Saccharomyces cerevisiae S288C: one gene and its partners. Changing the gene in region 1 together with any one later gene gives a genetic interaction. Each region holds a gene or a part of one and is shown in the gene's direction. Other genes may lie near its edges.

Region 1 (6,586 bases):
ACCGTTGTGCAAAAACTGCTGCTAGGATAACTGAACAGTTGTTTCTGTGGCAGATGTTGTGAATAGGCGCCTTTATTTTAAGGGTCCAGTGATCCGCGATGTGAATAAATACGCGCGCCTCTCTCGAAGGAACCTTCTGGGGCTGCTTCTGTCGATAAGAAAGCTTGGCAAAGGCCTTACTTGGCATTTAAGTAAAGCCTTTGCTTTACTGCTTCTTTCCCGCCTTTTTGGTGCATTGGGTTAATTGATGAATATGCGTAAAATTTAAATCAGACTATGAAAACATATATAACAACTATTACAAGAGAGGTGGTAGTCTACTTGAAGAGGCGCGCCAGAAGAAAACGGTGGTAAGTACGAAGTTATGTGTAGACTAACTTGCTTGTTAAAAAGTATTTGGTCAGCCGTGCCAAACAGTTCGAACTATCAGAACTTCTGACGGTTCACTGATGTACAAAAGTTGAGAGCCATTTTCGTAACCAGCTTTTTGTCCCACGCTCAGAAGGATGCATTGGTACGGTCACTTCGATATTCCTTCTTTGTGAGTGGAGCCAGAGCTTTTTATTAGTTTTTAGTTCAGTTGCTGTGCGAGACTCACGAACAAGTAGCAGCCGGCATGGTTTAGATGGTTCTGGCACGGTAAGCTGAGGAGCGCTATTATTATTGCGGGTACTACAGTCATTAGAAGATGGAATGGATTCCTTGCATATGTCTATCAGTGCCTGAAACGCCCTCTCAATGAGGGAGGTGTCAGGACTCAAAATTAAGGATTGTTCGGCGGGATGCGGTAAGCCTTCGTATACTAGGTTGTTGGACGGAAAAATCTGATACGGCTTGATCTGAATGTTAGGATCGACCTTACTGTCTAAAGTATCGAGAGTGATGTTTCCTTTTCGGTTTAAAGACTTCTTCTCGCCGACATCGAGAGAAAAATGAATGTGATCAAGAACCAGATCTATTTCTCTTTGTGTGTTTTTCCAGGGACAAGAAATGGAGTAGGGCTCAATCCTCTGGAAACCTTCGTATTTGTATTGGTATGAATAAAAACGGCACTCTGCTTCCTCCATAAGTTGGTCGTAGCTGGGCATTGTATCGAAGTTGAAGGGTCTCTTCCAGAATGGAATACTTTTATTTGAAGGGTTGTAGTACCTTCTGGGCTCAGATTGTTCGTCTAAAAGCAGGTATTGAACAGCTATCATCTTGCGCTCAAATTTAAATTCGAGGGAATCGTAGTCAATGTTCTTTGTACTTCTCAGAAAGAGTGGACAGTATTTTCCCATTTTGCTTTCAAACCAGTTCTGTGGCCTGTCAAGGTACTGTTGCATGTATGAAGGAACTACAGTAGTCAACGTGTGGTTAGACTGGGAAAATTCCGCTGTGGACACGACGCTGCAGCTTATATTTTGATTGCAGGGAGCAGGAGCGCAGGCATCTTGTTTAGATTTTCGGCTTGGATAATGTTTGTGGTGATCAGTGGAATTTGTTGGGCAGTAAATTTCAGTTGGAATGATAGATTCATTCGTCTCTTTTGTTCTGGAGTCCTTGGTGCGGCGGAAATCAAAGCAAGTCACTTCTGCGTTAAGCGATGCGAAATTGCCGTCTGGAAATGACGATATGTGTGGAGAATGAGGAGGATTCCATGACGAATAAACTGATGAGGATGTGCTAACAGATGAGGTTAGTGAGGGTACCGATTCGTTGTTTTCTGATGCAGAGTCTGTTGTGGGAGATGTGGTAGCGTTATTTCTTTGCACAAGAGAAGATGGGAGCATAGCACGGTTGTGGGAGGAGGAAGAAAACATCACGTTGCAAGTATCGTTTACGGAGTGGGATAAGAGGTAGGAGGTTGTCATAGCGGTGCTTTCTTCCTGATGCATGGCAGAAGAAGTTGGCAGTAATTCGTTTATTATGGTGACATTGTCGTGATTAGAAAGGACTGTCTCTTTTACCATTGCCTCGGGTATGTTTTTTGGCGCCTGCCTTGAACTTACTCCAGAACAAGCCTCAGCAGAAGAATGACCGGAATGATTCCTCTTATACACGTTCCAGAGTGGAGCATTCTTGACATCATAAAAAAAGTTGCTGACAGGATCTTTGGACTGGTTGACGTTAAGTGGTTCCGTAGCTGGTCTGATGTTTTCTTGTACGGTATCACTGACGGCTGAGAAACCTTCAGAGGAACCGTTTTCGGGAACAGACTTGGAGGATTGCAAATTAAGCCATTGAAAGTCTAGCCCAACCTTGTTGCAGAAGGCCTTGAACTCCTGGAAAGATGTAGACATTATGTGGGCGAAAAACAAAATTAGACCAACGCTTTAGCAAATTTTTTCAACCTCAAATTGATATTTGAAGATTAGATCGGATGGTTTTTTTTCCTGTGGTGTAGGCCAAGCTTAAACAAGGTTTTAAGTGAAAGTGGAAATAATTGTGATAAACATGCGGAAAGAGTGCCAGCCTTAAATAATTCCGCATTGTTGCTATGTCGTTTTGTTTTTGTTTTTGTTTTCGTCTTATTGGTATTTGTTCATTTTACGACCACAAAGGATCCAGGGCTTCTACTTGCACAGGGAGGGTTGCTTGGTTAATACAATGCAAAGGTCAGAGATATTAAGATTTGTGAAGGGTGCATTCAATGAGTTTTTCCTTTAATGTGCCCTAGAAAGGAAGTAGTACGAACATTTCTCAGTCGGAGTTTGCCGGAAATTCGAATGACAGTGTAAGTTGATTTTTGTGGCACAGAGATAATGAGCGGTGGTTCTGGCACACATTTGTGACGTTGGTTTGATAGTGTGGAGGGAGGGTGAAAAACAGATAACAATGGTCTCTTGGCCCAGTTGGTTAAGGCACCGTGCTAATAACGCGGGGATCAGCGGTTCGATCCCGCTAGAGACCATTCTTTTTTTACATTTCTCGCAATGTGATTTATTTTGCTTACCCTTCCCACTGCCGTTACAAGGGAGGTGAACGAAGAGGCTTGTTAGCATAAGGTTTACGCGTTGCGGTTGTAAGCACAATGTTCTTACTAAACCTCTGAAGATTAATTATCCTAACGTATACTAATTAATTCAAAGAGAATATTTACTCGTTCTCTTTTCATCATTTTGTAACATAATTCTTTACGTATTTTCACTTCGTACTTTTTTCAACTTTTTTTGCCTTCGCTTCTTTTTTGTTGTAATTTTTCAATTTTTTTTTTTCATCGTTGGCCGTCTTTCCTTGTCCTTCATTTTCCTCTCGTAATAATCATTCAACTACGGTAAAGCATGCCTTTCCTTTTTTCTACTCTGCAGTTATTTTCATAATATCTACTGTTTCCATTTCGTGCTTTAAGTTAGAGTTTAATCTTCCCTTCTATCATCTTAATAGCAGGTTCATAATAAGAAGATTACCACATCTACTCTTTGTTCGATTCCAATGTCTGAAAATAACGAAGAACAACATCAACAACAACAACAACAGCAACCTGTTGCCGTCGAAACTCCCTCGGCAGTTGAAGCTCCAGCATCAGCAGATCCTTCTTCTGAACAGAGCGTCGCTGTCGAAGGCAATTCTGAACAAGCTGAAGACAATCAGGGTGAAAATGATCCTTCCGTAGTTCCTGCTAATGCTATTACCGGTGGTAGGGAAACTTCCGATAGAGTTTTATATGTTGGTAACCTAGACAAAGCTATCACCGAAGACATTTTAAAGCAATATTTCCAAGTTGGCGGACCAATTGCTAACATCAAAATCATGATCGATAAGAATAATAAGAACGTCAATTACGCTTTTGTTGAATACCATCAATCTCACGATGCCAATATTGCCTTACAAACATTGAACGGCAAACAAATTGAAAACAACATTGTCAAAATCAACTGGGCCTTCCAATCCCAACAGAGTTCCTCCGATGATACATTTAACTTGTTTGTCGGTGATTTGAATGTTAATGTTGATGACGAAACTTTAAGGAATGCCTTCAAAGACTTCCCATCCTACTTGAGTGGTCATGTTATGTGGGACATGCAAACTGGTAGTTCAAGAGGTTACGGTTTTGTTTCCTTTACTTCTCAAGATGATGCACAAAATGCCATGGACAGCATGCAAGGTCAAGATTTGAATGGTAGACCGCTAAGAATCAACTGGGCTGCTAAGCGTGATAACAATAACAATAATAATTATCAACAGCGTCGTAACTACGGTAACAACAACCGTGGTGGTTTCCGTCAATATAACAGTAACAACAATAACAACATGAATATGGGGATGAATATGAACATGAATATGAATATGAACAACAGCAGGGGCATGCCACCAAGTTCAATGGGAATGCCAATTGGCGCCATGCCATTACCATCTCAAGGCCAACCCCAACAATCCCAGACCATTGGTTTACCTCCTCAAGTAAATCCTCAAGCTGTTGACCACATCATTAGAAGTGCCCCACCAAGAGTTACTACTGCCTATATCGGTAATATTCCGCACTTTGCCACTGAAGCTGATTTAATTCCGTTGTTCCAGAACTTCGGTTTTATTTTAGATTTCAAGCACTATCCAGAAAAGGGCTGTTGCTTCATAAAGTATGACACTCATGAACAGGCCGCTGTTTGTATTGTTGCCTTGGCAAACTTCCCATTTCAAGGCAGAAACTTGAGAACCGGTTGGGGTAAGGAAAGATCAAATTTTATGCCACAGCAGCAGCAACAGGGCGGTCAGCCACTTATAATGAATGACCAACAACAACCGGTTATGTCTGAGCAACAACAGCAACAGCAGCAACAGCAGCAACAACAATAAATATTATGAAGAAAAGTGGAATGAAACAAAAAGAAAGAATAAAGAGAGGCAACCTACAAATCCCAAGATAAAATAAAAAAAGAACGACAAGAATCCATTCATTATATTATACTATTTTTAAAAAAAAAATTACTACGAAAAAGGGAGAGAAAAAGAAGAAGAAACTCAATTTACTATTGCTCGAAAAATAAAAGGGCCTATAAACTTACTCTATTTTTTTAGTTTTTCTGTGTCTTATTTCCTTCCTTCGTCACTGTTTAATTTTTAATACTATTATTTTCCTTTAAAATGTGAAAGTCATTGCTAATAGTGTGATAAAAATAAAGAACGTATTTTCTGAAGGCTTTCTTTATTATATTTCCTTTTTCCTTTCTTACCCTATTTTTTTTAAACATCCATCCCACTGTATTTTGTCGAGTCCATATATATAATTTTTGTTTTTATTTTTTACAACTTTTGTTAAGTATATAAAAATGCTACCTAGCGTTATGGAGACATGTCAGTCTTGAGTCCAGGCACATAAAGGCAACAGCCACTACCACTGCGCACCCGTGACGCTGCTCCAACGTTCTCATTAAGTACGGAACTGTGTTTCGAACAAAAGAATGGCTGTTAAGACCAAAAAAAAGGCAGCTTAACAGGAACCCGGCTGGTTCCACAGGACTTTTCTTTCTTTAGGGAAAGGTTGTGAAAATGACAACCAAAAAGTCGCGACGCCAAATATCAAAAACCTAGATGATATTACTTCGTCTGCCAAACACCTCCTTTCCCTCTATCCAGCCCTTATTTTTTTTCCAAGAGCTTCATATGCACGCCCGAATCATTTCGAATCGCGTACGTGGCAGGTTGTGGCTGGCATCTTTCCCAAAAGGAAACGGACCAATACCACGCATCCCCGAGCTCTTGGTCTTTCTTTATCTTGCATAGCCCAAAAAATAAAATGGGGCGGGAAAAAGGGGGCATATCAGAGCATCGGGAACTTCTTTCAATGCAATATATATGGCACATATAAAAAATTCTGGCTTCATTATGTTAGGTGCAGAGATTCCGTTTAGACCAATTGAACGGTAACCAGAAGGTAATCTTAAATATACAAACAAAAAACAAGGTCCATAATGACAAAGAATTTCATCGTCACTTTGAAAAAGAACACTCCAGATGTGGAAGCTAAGAAGTTCTTGGATTCAGTTCATCACGCAGGTGGCTCTATTGTACACGAATTCGACATCATTAAAGGGTACACCATCAAGGTACCAGATGTTCTCCACTTGAACAAGTTGAAGGAAAAGCACAATGATGTCATCGAGAACGTCGAAGAAGACAAAGAAGTTCATACAAATTGATTCCTGAGATAAACGCAAACACTTTTTTACTCGGAAATTTTCTCTCCCCGATTGTAAATTTATTTCTCGTCTACTATAATAATTCACCAAAAAACAGCAGAGCACGTCCTATATATATATATATATATATATATATATATACATATATATATACGAATATATTTATGACAGTCTAAATCGTTGCTCCTGTTCAATTTTAACGCTCTTTTATAACTGCTGTGGCGCCATTTCTTTGGCATCTAAGATGTGTCTCGGGACTTTCTTTTTCTGGTCATCTTGCTTTCCTTGCCTTGTCATTAACAGAGCTAAACTGTGTTGAGGAAGTGGTCTTTTAAATTTTCAAGGTCGCGGCCCGTGCATTGCGCGGCTGGATGTCTTTTAGGGGAGCGATGCGCTTGCACAAAAGAATAGCCTTGATTTCCGCTATTAATGGGTATATTCTTCTAACAATTTGAGTTTTTTCTCCA
Region 2 (6,586 bases), on another chromosome or scaffold:
TTTCCTGCAATATCGAAGATAGCTGGTAAAAAGATGCCTATAACGTCAAGCCCCGATCTGTTCTATCTCAATGATTGTGATGTCGTCTATTGGTATGACCTCACTCGCTTAGTGTGTCATTATGTTAATTTAACAGAGCGCGACCTATTGGCAAATGAACGGGAAAAGTTTCTAACTTCCTTGGATTTATTAACAGCTCAAATAACCTATGTTTATATGCTTTTCAGGAATCTCCGTTTAGTTGAAGATAGTTTCAAAAAAACCCTCAAAAAACTAATTTACACCTTGTCTAGGTTTTCAATAAATGCAAATATTTGGTTTCATTCCACATTGTTTGAAGAAAGAGAAGCCATAGCCTCCCAGAAGGATCCAGAAAGAAGATCCCCTCTTCTACAGTCAATCCTAGGAACCTTCCAAAAATTTCATTTTCTACTGCGTTTACTACATTTCCTCTCAAATCCTAACGAACTTACAATACTGCCTCAATTGACTCCTCGATTTTTCAAGGATTCTTTCAATACAATTTCATGGAATAACCCGTTTTTGCGTAAGCGTCTCAACCAGCATATGTCCCATGACCTACCGAGACAGATGATTAAAGCCGTTGCTGGTGCTTCAGGAATTGTTGCGGAAAATATTGATGAAATTCCAGCTTCCAAACAGGGCACTTCATGCTCGTCAGAAACGTCTCACCATTCACCATCAGCCCCGTTTCAAAGAAGGAGAAGAGGTACCATTTTCTCTAATGTGTCAGGAAGTTCCGATGAGTCTGACACCATATGGTCCAAAAGGAAAAAACCATACCCGCTAAATGAAGAAACTCTAAGCCTTGTAAGGGCCAGGAAGAAGCAGCTTGATGGTAAACTAAAACAAATGATCAAAAGTGCTAATGAATATCTCAGTAACACGGCTAATTTTTCAAAAATGTTGAATTTTGAAATGAATTTCAAAACCTACGAAGAAGTAAGCGGAACAATTCCTATAATTGATATTCTGGAAAACCTAGATTTAACTATTTTTCTAAACTTGAGAGAGTTGGGAGATGAGAATAGAGTTTTTGACGAAGATGTCGCTATTGATGATGAAGATGAAGAGTTTTTGAAACATTCTTTATCATCCCTATCGTATATCTTATCCGACTATTTTAATATGAAGCAATATTTTCATGATGTAGTAGTGAAATTTATAATTGTCGCCCAGCATTTGACATTAGAGGATCCTTTCGTTTTCTCGCCAATGCAAAACGACTTGCCTACCGGTTATTATGAACCAATGAAACCTTCATCCTTGAATTTAGATAATGCCAAGGATAAGAAGAATGGGAGCCAAAATACTGATATCCAAGAGGAGGAAGATGAATATGAGCCAGACCCGGATAGTCTTATTCTCTTCCACAACCTCATCAATCAAGATTCTGATTTCAATGATTTAAAGTTTTTTAATCTCGCCCACGTTTTTAAAAAATCCTGTGATGACTATTTTGATGTGCTTAAACTAGCCATTGAGTTCGTGAATCAATTAATTCTAGAAAGAGAGAATTTGTTAAATTATGCTGCTAGAATGATGAAAAACAATATCACGGAATTGCTATTGCGCGGGGAAGAAGGCTATGGGTCCTATGACGGCGGTGAAACTGCCGAAAAAAGTGACACGAATGCTGTTTATGCAGATTCAGATACTAAAGACAATGACGAATGGCGTGACAGCCAAGTCAAATTACCGAGGTATTTGCAGCGCGAGTATGACAGTGAACTGATTTGGGGCTCTAACAATAGGATTAAAGGTGGTTCTAAACACGCACTGATCTCTTACTTGACAGATAATGAAAAGAAGGATCTATTTTTCGATATTACTTTTTTAATCACTTTCAGAAGCATCTTTACTACAACGGAGTTTTTAAGCTACTTGATTTCGCAATATAATTTGGATCCACCAGAGGATTTGTGCTTTGAAGAATACAATGAATGGGTGACGAAAAAGCTTATACCGGTTAAATGTAGGGTGGTTGAGATTATGACAACCTTTTTCAAGCAATATTGGTTCCTGGGCTATGATGAGCCCGATCTTGCGACCCTAAATCTGGATTATTTTGCGCAAGTAGCAATCAAGGAAAATATAACAGGATCTGTGGAATTACTAAAGGAGGTCAATCAGAAGTTTAAACATGGTAATATACAAGAAGCGACTGCACCAATGAAAACGTTAGATCAACAGATCTGCCAGGACCATTACTCGGGCACTTTATACTCTACCACGGAATCCATTTTGGCCGTCGATCCAGTTTTATTTGCCACTCAATTAACGATACTAGAGCATGAAATTTATTGTGAGATAACCATTTTTGATTGTTTACAAAAAATTTGGAAGAACAAGTATACAAAATCGTATGGGGCTTCACCGGGTTTGAACGAGTTTATCAGTTTTGCCAATAAACTGACAAATTTCATATCCTACTCTGTTGTAAAGGAGGCTGATAAAAGTAAGCGCGCCAAGCTACTCTCTCATTTTATTTTTATCGCAGAATATTGTAGGAAATTCAATAACTTTTCTTCCATGACTGCAATCATTTCAGCATTATATTCTTCACCAATTTATCGTTTAGAGAAAACCTGGCAGGCAGTTATTCCTCAAACGAGAGATCTATTGCAGTCACTGAACAAGTTGATGGATCCCAAGAAAAATTTCATAAATTACAGAAACGAGCTGAAATCTTTACATAGCGCTCCCTGCGTACCGTTTTTCGGCGTTTATTTATCTGATCTAACCTTTACTGATTCCGGAAATCCGGATTATCTTGTCTTGGAACATGGTTTAAAGGGTGTCCATGATGAGAAGAAATATATAAACTTCAACAAAAGGAGCAGACTTGTTGATATCTTACAAGAGATCATATATTTCAAGAAAACACATTATGATTTCACTAAAGATCGGACGGTAATTGAATGTATATCAAATTCATTGGAAAACATCCCCCATATTGAGAAACAATACCAATTATCATTAATTATTGAACCAAAACCAAGAAAGAAAGTCGTTCCGAATTCCAATTCGAATAATAAATCACAAGAAAAATCCAGGGATGACCAAACCGATGAAGGAAAAACATCCACTAAGAAAGACAGATTTCCAAAATTTCAATTACATAAGACAAAGAAAAAAGCTCCCAAGGTTTCTAAGTAACGGCGCCGTATGTTCGATTTCCTTCTCTCGGTGGATTAATTATTTTGTTTGTTTTCTCCTGTTATATTATTTATTGATCACTATAGTAAACTATGTCCGTCATCAAGCCCGACGGCTGCTATCCCACAATGTTGATCGTATTGTTTGCCTAGTTTATTATATATTTGCTTATTTATAGCATACCATAATATTTAAATGCCCTCAAATTTTTGGCCGTAGCGACATCGCGATAATTCCAATTCCCTTTAAAAAATTGCGCCTGAGTATAAGTTAATTCAGCCAGTTCTCCAAATTAAAATCGCATACTCCTGAACCTATCAACAGATTGTCCTCGCATACTTTTCTATACCAAGGTCTCTTCTGAACATATATTAGCAGTGGTTAATTTTAAAGAGATCATAAAGAAAATTTTGTCTAAAAAAGATTAATATAAAGACAATGTCTTCACTAGAAGTGGTAGATGGGTGCCCCTATGGATACCGACCATATCCAGATAGTGGCACAAATGCATTAAATCCATGTTTTATATCAGTAATATCCGCCTGGCAAGCCGTCTTTTTCCTATTGATTGGTAGCTATCAATTGTGGAAACTTTATAAGAACAATAAAGTACCACCCAGATTTAAGAACTTTCCTACATTACCAAGTAAAATCAACAGTCGACATCTAACGCATTTGACCAATGTTTGCTTTCAGTCCACGCTTATAATTTGTGAACTGGCCTTGGTATCCCAATCTAGCGATAGGGTTTATCCATTTATACTAAAGAAGGCTCTGTACTTGAATCTCCTTTTCAATTTGGGTATTTCTCTCCCTACTCAATACTTAGCTTATTTTAAAAGTACATTTTCAATGGGCAACCAGCTTTTCTATTACATGTTTCAAATTCTTCTACAGCTCTTCTTGATATTGCAGAGGTACTATCATGGTTCTAGTAACGAAAGGCTTACTGTTATTAGCGGACAAACTGCTATGATTTTAGAAGTGCTCCTTCTTTTCAATTCTGTGGCAATTTTTATTTATGATCTATGCATTTTTGAGCCAATTAACGAATTATCTGAATACTACAAGAAAAATGGGTGGTATCCCCCCGTTCATGTACTATCCTATATTACATTTATCTGGATGAACAAACTGATTGTGGAAACTTACCGTAACAAGAAAATCAAAGATCCTAACCAGTTACCATTGCCGCCAGTAGATCTGAATATTAAGTCGATAAGTAAGGAATTTAAGGCTAACTGGGAATTGGAAAAATGGTTGAATAGAAATTCTCTTTGGAGGGCCATTTGGAAGTCATTTGGTAGGACTATTTCTGTGGCTATGCTGTATGAAACGACATCTGATTTACTTTCTGTAGTACAGCCCCAGTTTCTACGGATATTCATAGATGGTTTGAACCCGGAAACATCTTCTAAATATCCTCCTTTAAATGGTGTATTTATTGCTCTAACCCTTTTCGTAATCAGCGTGGTTTCTGTGTTCCTCACCAATCAATTTTATATTGGAATTTTTGAGGCTGGTTTGGGGATAAGAGGCTCTTTAGCTTCTTTAGTGTATCAGAAGTCCTTAAGATTGACGCTAGCAGAGCGTAACGAAAAATCTACTGGTGACATCTTAAATTTGATGTCTGTGGATGTGTTAAGGATCCAGCGGTTTTTCGAAAATGCCCAAACCATTATTGGCGCTCCTATTCAGATTATTGTTGTATTAACTTCCCTGTACTGGTTGCTAGGAAAGGCTGTTATTGGAGGGTTGGTTACTATGGCTATTATGATGCCTATCAATGCCTTCTTATCTAGAAAGGTAAAAAAGCTATCAAAAACTCAAATGAAGTATAAGGACATGAGAATCAAGACTATTACAGAGCTTTTGAATGCTATAAAATCTATTAAATTATACGCCTGGGAGGAACCTATGATGGCAAGATTGAATCATGTTCGTAATGATATGGAGTTGAAAAATTTTCGGAAAATTGGTATAGTGAGCAATCTGATATATTTTGCGTGGAATTGTGTACCTTTAATGGTGACATGTTCCACATTTGGCTTATTTTCTTTATTTAGTGATTCTCCGTTATCTCCTGCCATTGTCTTCCCTTCATTATCTTTATTTAATATTTTGAACAGTGCCATCTATTCCGTTCCATCCATGATAAATACCATTATAGAGACAAGCGTTTCTATGGAAAGATTAAAGTCATTCCTACTTAGTGACGAAATTGATGATTCGTTCATCGAACGTATTGATCCTTCAGCGGATGAAAGAGCGTTACCTGCTATAGAGATGAATAATATTACATTTTTATGGAAATCAAAAGAAGTATTAACATCTAGCCAATCTGGAGATAATTTGAGGACAGATGAAGAGTCTATTATCGGATCTTCTCAAATTGCGTTGAAGAATATCGATCATTTTGAAGCAAAAAGGGGTGATTTAGTTTGTGTTGTTGGTCGGGTAGGAGCTGGTAAATCAACATTTTTGAAGGCAATTCTTGGTCAACTTCCTTGCATGAGTGGTTCTAGGGACTCGATACCACCTAAACTGATCATTAGATCATCGTCTGTAGCCTACTGTTCACAAGAATCCTGGATAATGAACGCATCTGTAAGAGAAAACATTCTATTTGGTCACAAGTTCGACCAAGATTATTATGACCTCACTATTAAAGCATGTCAATTGCTACCCGATTTGAAAATACTACCAGATGGTGATGAAACTTTGGTAGGTGAAAAGGGCATTTCCCTATCAGGCGGTCAGAAGGCCCGTCTTTCATTAGCCAGAGCGGTGTACTCGAGAGCAGATATTTATTTGTTGGATGACATTTTATCTGCTGTTGATGCAGAAGTTAGTAAAAATATTATTGAATATGTTTTGATCGGAAAGACGGCTTTATTAAAAAATAAAACAATTATTTTAACTACCAATACTGTATCAATTTTAAAACATTCGCAGATGATATATGCGCTAGAAAACGGTGAAATTGTTGAACAAGGGAATTATGAGGATGTAATGAACCGTAAGAACAATACTTCAAAACTGAAAAAATTACTAGAGGAATTTGATTCTCCGATTGATAATGGAAATGAAAGCGATGTCCAAACTGAACACCGATCCGAAAGTGAAGTGGATGAACCTCTGCAGCTTAAAGTAACTGAATCAGAAACTGAGGATGAGGTTGTTACTGAGAGTGAATTAGAACTAATCAAAGCCAATTCTAGAAGAGCTTCTCTAGCTACGCTAAGACCTAGACCCTTTGTGGGAGCACAATTGGATTCCGTGAAGAAAACGGCGCAAAAGGCCGAGAAGACAGAGGTGGGAAGAGTCAAAACAAAGATTTATCTTGCGTATATTAAGGCTTGTGGAGTTTTAGGTGTTGTTTTATTTTTCTTGTTTATGATATTAA
Region 3 (6,586 bases), on another chromosome or scaffold:
ATACATTCGAAAGCTTATACAATGGTGTTCTAAACATCGGATTGATAGCGGAGAATGGTGCCTACGTAAGAGTTAATGGGTCGTGGTACAACATCGTGGAAGAGCTTGATTGGATGAAAGAGGTGGCAAAGATCTTTGACGAGAAAGTCGAGAGGTTACCTGGTTCATACTACAAAATCGCTGATTCTATGATCAGATTCCATACAGAAAACGCTGATGATCAAGATCGAGTCCCAACTGTTATTGGGGAAGCCATTACGCACATAAACACCTTATTTGATGACAGGGATATTCACGCTTATGTGCATAAGGATATTGTCTTCGTTCAACAAACGGGGCTAGCCTTAGCCGCCGCTGAGTTTTTGATGAAATTTTACAACAGTGGCGTCAGTCCTACTGACAATAGCAGAATATCTCTATCAAGAACATCCTCTTCGATGTCCGTCGGTAATAATAAGAAGCATTTCCAAAACCAGGTAGATTTCGTTTGCGTTTCCGGTTCGACATCACCTATTATTGAACCATTATTTAAATTAGTGAAGCAAGAGGTTGAAAAGAACAATCTAAAATTTGGTTACACCATTCTTTACGGTAGCTCAAGATCCACTTATGCCAAGGAACATATCAATGGTGTCAATGAACTTTTTACCATCCTTCATGACTTGACAGCCGCCTAAGCGATCATTTTCCCTCCTGTACTTTCAAAATGTTCTCTTTCTTATTCTTCAGTTATAGTTTTTACGAGCGATTATAAATATAAAAGTACGATCTTCCTTTTACGTATATATGTATATACAGCACGATAAATTACAAACAAGTTTCAACTAACAATGTGGGTTATTTCTCATATTGTTAATGAGATCTTATAATAATCATTATACACGAACGCTATTTTTCACTTTTTTTTCATTTTTGTTTTCGCCGCAAGAAGTAATAGTGAAAAATTGAAAAAAGCTTCAATTTTAGTTTGCTGAAAGAAACCTTTACTTATGTAGAAGGTGTACTTGCAAAAGCACTAGTGTAATATAGAGCAAAGTTCATCATGGGTAAGAAAAACACTAAAGGTGGTAAAAAAGGTAGAAGAGGTAAGAACGACTCTGACGGTCCAAAGCGTGAACTTATTTATAAGGAAGAAGGCCAAGAATATGCTCAAATCACCAAGATGTTGGGTAATGGAAGAGTCGAAGCCAGTTGCTTTGATGGTAATAAGAGAATGGCCCATATTAGAGGTAAGTTAAGAAAGAAAGTCTGGATGGGACAAGGTGATATTATTCTTGTTTCCTTAAGAGATTTCCAAGATGACCAATGTGATGTTGTCCACAAATATAATTTAGATGAAGCCAGAACACTGAAAAACCAAGGTGAACTTCCTGAAAACGCCAAAATTAATGAAACAGACAACTTTGGTTTCGAATCTGATGAAGACGTTAACTTTGAATTTGGTAACGCTGATGAAGATGATGAGGAAGGTGAAGATGAAGAACTTGATATTGATGACATTTAATTTAGGCCGAACAAGTGTCCTCAATATCTTCTAATGCGTCAACTATTCATAATTTATTTATAATTATATTTTTTAGTCCATCATAGGAAAGGGTTTTCTTTTTACTATATCGAAATACTTATATATAGATATCAAAAAAAGAATAAAAATGAAATACCTCAAGAAGTCGTTTAATCTTCCTTCTAGGGTTTCTTTCAAGCGGACGTTAAGGAGACGTAATAAAAATTTTCTCGCACGAGAAATTTGAGCAAAGAGCACGTTGCGAATACGTTTTATCCATTCATCGTTTTTAATTTATTACCTTTTCTTTCGATGCTGTTTATTGTCACTCATGAGTGCTTCCGTTTTTTCCATCGAAAATTTACTTTTTTAGACTGAAAAGAAAATGAAAAGTTAAAATAAATTTTTACCAGAAAATGCTCATCGCAGGAAAATGACAATACTATTGTGAGCTTCCCGAGGTACACATTACTTCATACTGAAAGTTTCAAAAAATGACTACGGATGTGCAATTTTCAAGTCAGGAAATCGAGCTTTTCCGTGTCAAAGAATTCTTGATTGCTAATAATCCAGCAAAGATCAACAATGAAAATAAGGATGCTGTTTTAACTCAGATTGAGCATGATTTCAGGTATTTAATACAGTATATCAAGGACGGATTACCGAACTTAAATGAGTCCACAAGGTTAATTTTTCCAGATACCTTTTCGATCTGTTTACTAAGGAGCCATCAAATAATTGCAAGCAAAAAAATTGACTCTCAAGAATTTTTATCGGCGGTAAAAGAGCAACTCTTAACTGAAGCGAATGCAAATATTATCTTTGAATATGTTCTTGACTTTTGGGCTGATGGTGGAGCCCCACTGATGAATGCCTTGAGAGATTTATTCAGTAAACTACTGAACTTATTGAAAATCACATATCCTATGTCAACCTTGAAGGATGTTTTATTTAATTGGATGAATGAAATATTAGAAGTACCATCTACGTTGCGTGTTCAGTATTACTTGATTGATGCCCTTTCTTCTGATTTTGACCTTTATTATATTATAGAAAAAAAGCCTCATTTCATCGATAACTCTTTTTCATTAATGAACTCTGATTTGCTAGCAAATTCGGTAGGTAAATGCATTGTTAGTTTGCTGTTAAACATTTACGAAAAGCATTTCAAAAAGAACGAGTCTTTTGTACAAGAATGGATACAATTATGGAAAAGTTGTGCTTTAAAGTACATTCACGACAAACAATACACCAAATCCATTAATCTGTATATTATGATTCCATTATTCAAAAATATGCCAAACTCGGCCTTCACACTTTTCCTAGAATGTATGTCTAACAAAGACCCATCACTTTTGCTCTCACTTTTAAAGATTGGCCAAGAATTGGGGATTGAAGAAGAACCATTTTGTGATAATAAATATACCACTGTAGATTCTGTTAACAAACTCATAGAGCAAGATGAGTATAAACTTCAGGTATTTGAAATACTGACCTTTTCGACAAAAAAGTCAAAGCCTATTCGTCCCTTCGTCTTCAAAACTATAAAACAGTACCTATATGTGTTCTTCGTGGACACTGAACTTGAACGCAGAAATTACTTTTGCAGTTCGATGAAACACTTTATATTTAGAACCAGAGACTGCGCATACTCTTTAGCTAGGGATGCCAGAAAGCTTAAAAAGGCTGAGAAATTTCCGGACGAACAGAGGGAAAAGTTGGCGCAAGTTGAGGAGGCTAGAGCCTTTTTGGTTTGGCTATGCAATTTTATAAAATATAATTTGGCCCCTGGTACTTTATATCAGGCGAACGTGACCTCATTAAAACTTATGCACATTCTGATCAAGTCTGGTGTTGATAAATCTACTCCACAAAAATTTTTAGACAACCAAAATAAGAGGGAATATCCTTTTTCTATCCCAATTTTACAGGATGTCACATTTTTAAGGTTGCTCATTGACCTTTTGGTTAGTAATTATGCTGACGTGCGCGAATTATCTAAAGAAATGCTATTTATAATGATAAGCGCTGATGAATCTAGAGGTCTTTTTTTGGATACCTTAGACGCAAATGCTTTGAAGTGGACTGCAACCTCTCTTTTAAGTGACTATGAGAAAGGTGATGCTGGAGCTACCGTATATGAGTTCATATTCACAGTCATGGGCTCTCAAAGAAGCTTCATTGACCAGACAATTGATATATTAGCGCAGATGGTACAAAATTTGCAAAATGACAGCATTGGTTGTGCAGAAAATTCAATCGGTCCTCACTTTGCTGCACTAAGCTTGATTTTGAATAAGTTTAACTCTGAAGAAAACCATCAAGATACTTCAAAAATAATCTCAAAATTAATAAATCTTGTACTCAAGAGCTGGGAAGCAACGAGAAATGTAGTGTGTCATGATTCTGCCCATGGAATACTACCTGAAAAATATGCTAATTGTGGTGTACCGGACCAAGTTATAATAAGTCACGCATTTAGGGCGATAAAAGAAGCATCATATTTACTTGAAACAATATTAAAAAAATACCCTTTAACAAGAGATCAATTAGACAGTATCGGCGATCTTTTTATTGTTCAGCTTTCTACTATTCGTCATAGTGGCGCCTTCCAAGCCGTTTTACCGGGGCTAAAGGCATTTTGTATTCGTTGTCAACTTGAATTTCCCGCTATTCTGGAAGAACTTTTAAGCAAGAGTGTAAAATCTTTAAAATCCAAAACTCAACATATTACAAGAAGGTCAGGAGGCTTGCCTTTCTTGGTCACAACCGTCTTAAGTGCAGAAGTTACCAAAGGGAGACCTTTGTTACAAAAAACTTTTGAAAACTTACTACTCGTTGCAAGGTTACCAATTCCTCCCCATCAAGATGAGTTTGATTTACCACAGGTTAATGCTATTAATTGTATAAACGCAATCTTTGTTGAACCGAAGCTCTCTGTACACTGTACGTCATTTGTCTCAGAGGCATTAGAACTAGCTTTATTGAATTTCGACTGTGATATATGGGCTCTAAGAAACTGTTCTATCATGCTGTTTACCTCCTTGCAAAATAGAATTTTTGGAAAAGTGGGCAGAAGCGTTAGTGCAAAATTATTCTTTACCAAATATTCTGGCTTGAGGCAACTGCTTTTGAATATTCTAAACAGTTCTATTGCTCAATATTCGGGAAGTGAAAGAAAATCATATCAAATTGAAAGCATTTTCTTGGTCCTTAATGTGCTACTGAGGTTACGGCCTACAGCTGGCTATACTGGTCTAAAAGAATTCAACGTTTCTGTTTATGAATGTTTATCAAATGAGAACTGGAAGATCAGAGATATGGCCTCTAGAGTATTGCATATGCTGTCGGAAAATTTTGAAGAAGAGATAAGAAAATTACTTGACTTGGCTTCTATCGCGAAGCAAAACCAGTTACATGGACACTTACTAGCACTCCAACAACTAGTACCACAATACCTTTCAGGAACTAGAGATATGGAGTTGATTCAAAGGATACTTGAAAAGAAAAGGATGCTTCTACTAGAGAACAAGTGCTTTATCACTAAAAAGGCCTACTTAAAATTGACCTGCTGTATATTGGAAACATGCGACATACCTGATTCTATTTTAAAAGATTATATCAGCACTTTGCGGAACACATTTATTGCTGAAAATAACGAATATGTTGTGGATGGTAGCAAACAGCTATATCTTGCACAAATCTTAGACATGCTCTTAAAATATGAGGATAGTATATATCTCGATGATATTTGCTTATTAGGATTGTATTCTCCATTTTATGAGGCTCAGCTCAGTACACTACAGTACATGAATACTAACTTTCACTGGGAAACTACAAGAAACTCAGAATTTCTTGAACAACTACAATTATTACTCAGGGTTCCAGATTTGCTGCCTATGGCTAAAGCTTTAGTAGTGAAAATTCTCTCAAGAAAAAAGAATACTTTATCCCTGACGACCTGCACTGATCTCCTAAAAACAAATAATAGTGAAGATACAAAACTTGCTGCCGTTTCATCACTAAGTGCTAAATTGTCTTCGCAAACCTTTCACCAGGTATGGAACTTGTTACAAGGATTTTTCGCCGATTCTTGTTCAAAAGATTTTAGATTGGCATCTTTAGAATGTTTAACTGCTTATCCAGAAAGTTGTAAGAACTCCAGAATACTATTACAACTGTACAACTTCTTATGGGACGATGATTCTGAAATAAGAGAAAAGGCTTCTTTTTATTTGAATAAGAACTTTATTCAAACTGCAGACTGGGAATATAACAGGAACACCAGTGTGACCGCTCTTATATTCACAAAAAAGTTTGTTGACGTATTCACAAGTTCTGAGGTGGTAGAAGAGTTGTGTTTACAGTTGTTTCAATATCTAAATGAATATGATATGTTTGCTGCCGAAGAATCGGCGAAGAATTGTCTATTTACTATAGAAAAGGATAACCAGTTCATCAACGAACTACAAAAGGCAATGCATATATTAAATATGATAAAATTGACTGGAAGGGATATCTCAAAGTGTTACAAAGACCAGATACATCACCTAAAAAGTGCTCTATTGGAGCACTTCAACACCGAGGATTTTAAAGATTCCCCACTCGGCTGGTGCTCTAATGCTGAAATATTTTCAAGAATAACGCTTTTAAAGGAACTGATTCAACATTATTCTCCTTCTGATTATGAGAATTTTATCAATGTTCTGACTAAACATTCTGTTCATCCCCTAATTATCAGTTATTCCCAATTATAAATAATGAATATGTACAGATATATACTTTGCATATAATCTGATTCATCTCTAACCTACTTGTGGATTTAGTGACGAGATTCATTGTGGAACCTATTACAAAGCATGTCGATTTCTATTCTAAATACAATGATGGAACTTGATTTAATTTCTTTACCGTTGTCATTTTCTTTTGAATTTTTTCCACCTCTTTTTTTGTTGAAAAATGTTCATGGATGGAAAATTAAAGGTGTGCCCTATTACAAAAGCAAGTTGTACCCCTTTACTAACTCTCTAGTCAATTTGAACTATTGTGAAAACGACAGTTGTGCTCACATGATATAACAAA

The links.
Region 2: mutations in PUB1 (region 1) and BPT1 together harm fitness more than expected from each alone (negative genetic interaction), as found in Saccharomyces cerevisiae (2 studies listed by BioGRID).
Region 3: mutations in PUB1 (region 1) and TRM732 together harm fitness more than expected from each alone (negative genetic interaction), as found in Saccharomyces cerevisiae (2 studies listed by BioGRID).

Annotation. Positions count from the first base shown.
Region 1 is NC_001146.8:599,493-606,078, forward strand, and holds PUB1 (Pub1p), read left to right. Parts: upstream 1-3,414; coding exon 3,415-4,776; downstream 4,777-6,586. Other genes in the region: YNL018C (uncharacterized protein), read right to left, coding at 444-2,282; PBI2 (Pbi2p), read left to right, coding at 5,892-6,119. UniProt on the Saccharomyces cerevisiae protein: May be associated with hnRNA within the nucleus and remains associated during nucleocytoplasmic mRNA transport, once the proteins are in the cytoplasm, disassembly of PUB1-RNA complexes may occur prior to PAB1 binding and formation of a translationally competent RNP complex.
Region 2 is NC_001144.5:112,814-119,399, forward strand, and holds the start of BPT1 (ATP-binding cassette bilirubin transporter BPT1), read left to right. Parts: upstream 1-3,618; coding exon 3,619-6,586. UniProt on the Saccharomyces cerevisiae protein: Cooperates for the ATP-dependent vacuolar transport of bilirubin and glutathione conjugates.
Region 3 is NC_001145.3:784,296-790,881, reverse strand, and holds TRM732 (tRNA methylation protein TRM732), read left to right. Parts: upstream 1-1,998; coding exon 1,999-6,261; downstream 6,262-6,586. Other genes in the region: TPS3 (trehalose 6-phosphate synthase/phosphatase complex subunit), read left to right, coding at 1-677; TIF11 (translation initiation complex factor eIF1A), read left to right, coding at 1,043-1,504. UniProt on the Saccharomyces cerevisiae protein: Together with methyltransferase TRM7, methylates the 2'-O-ribose of nucleotides at position 32 of the anticodon loop of substrate tRNAs.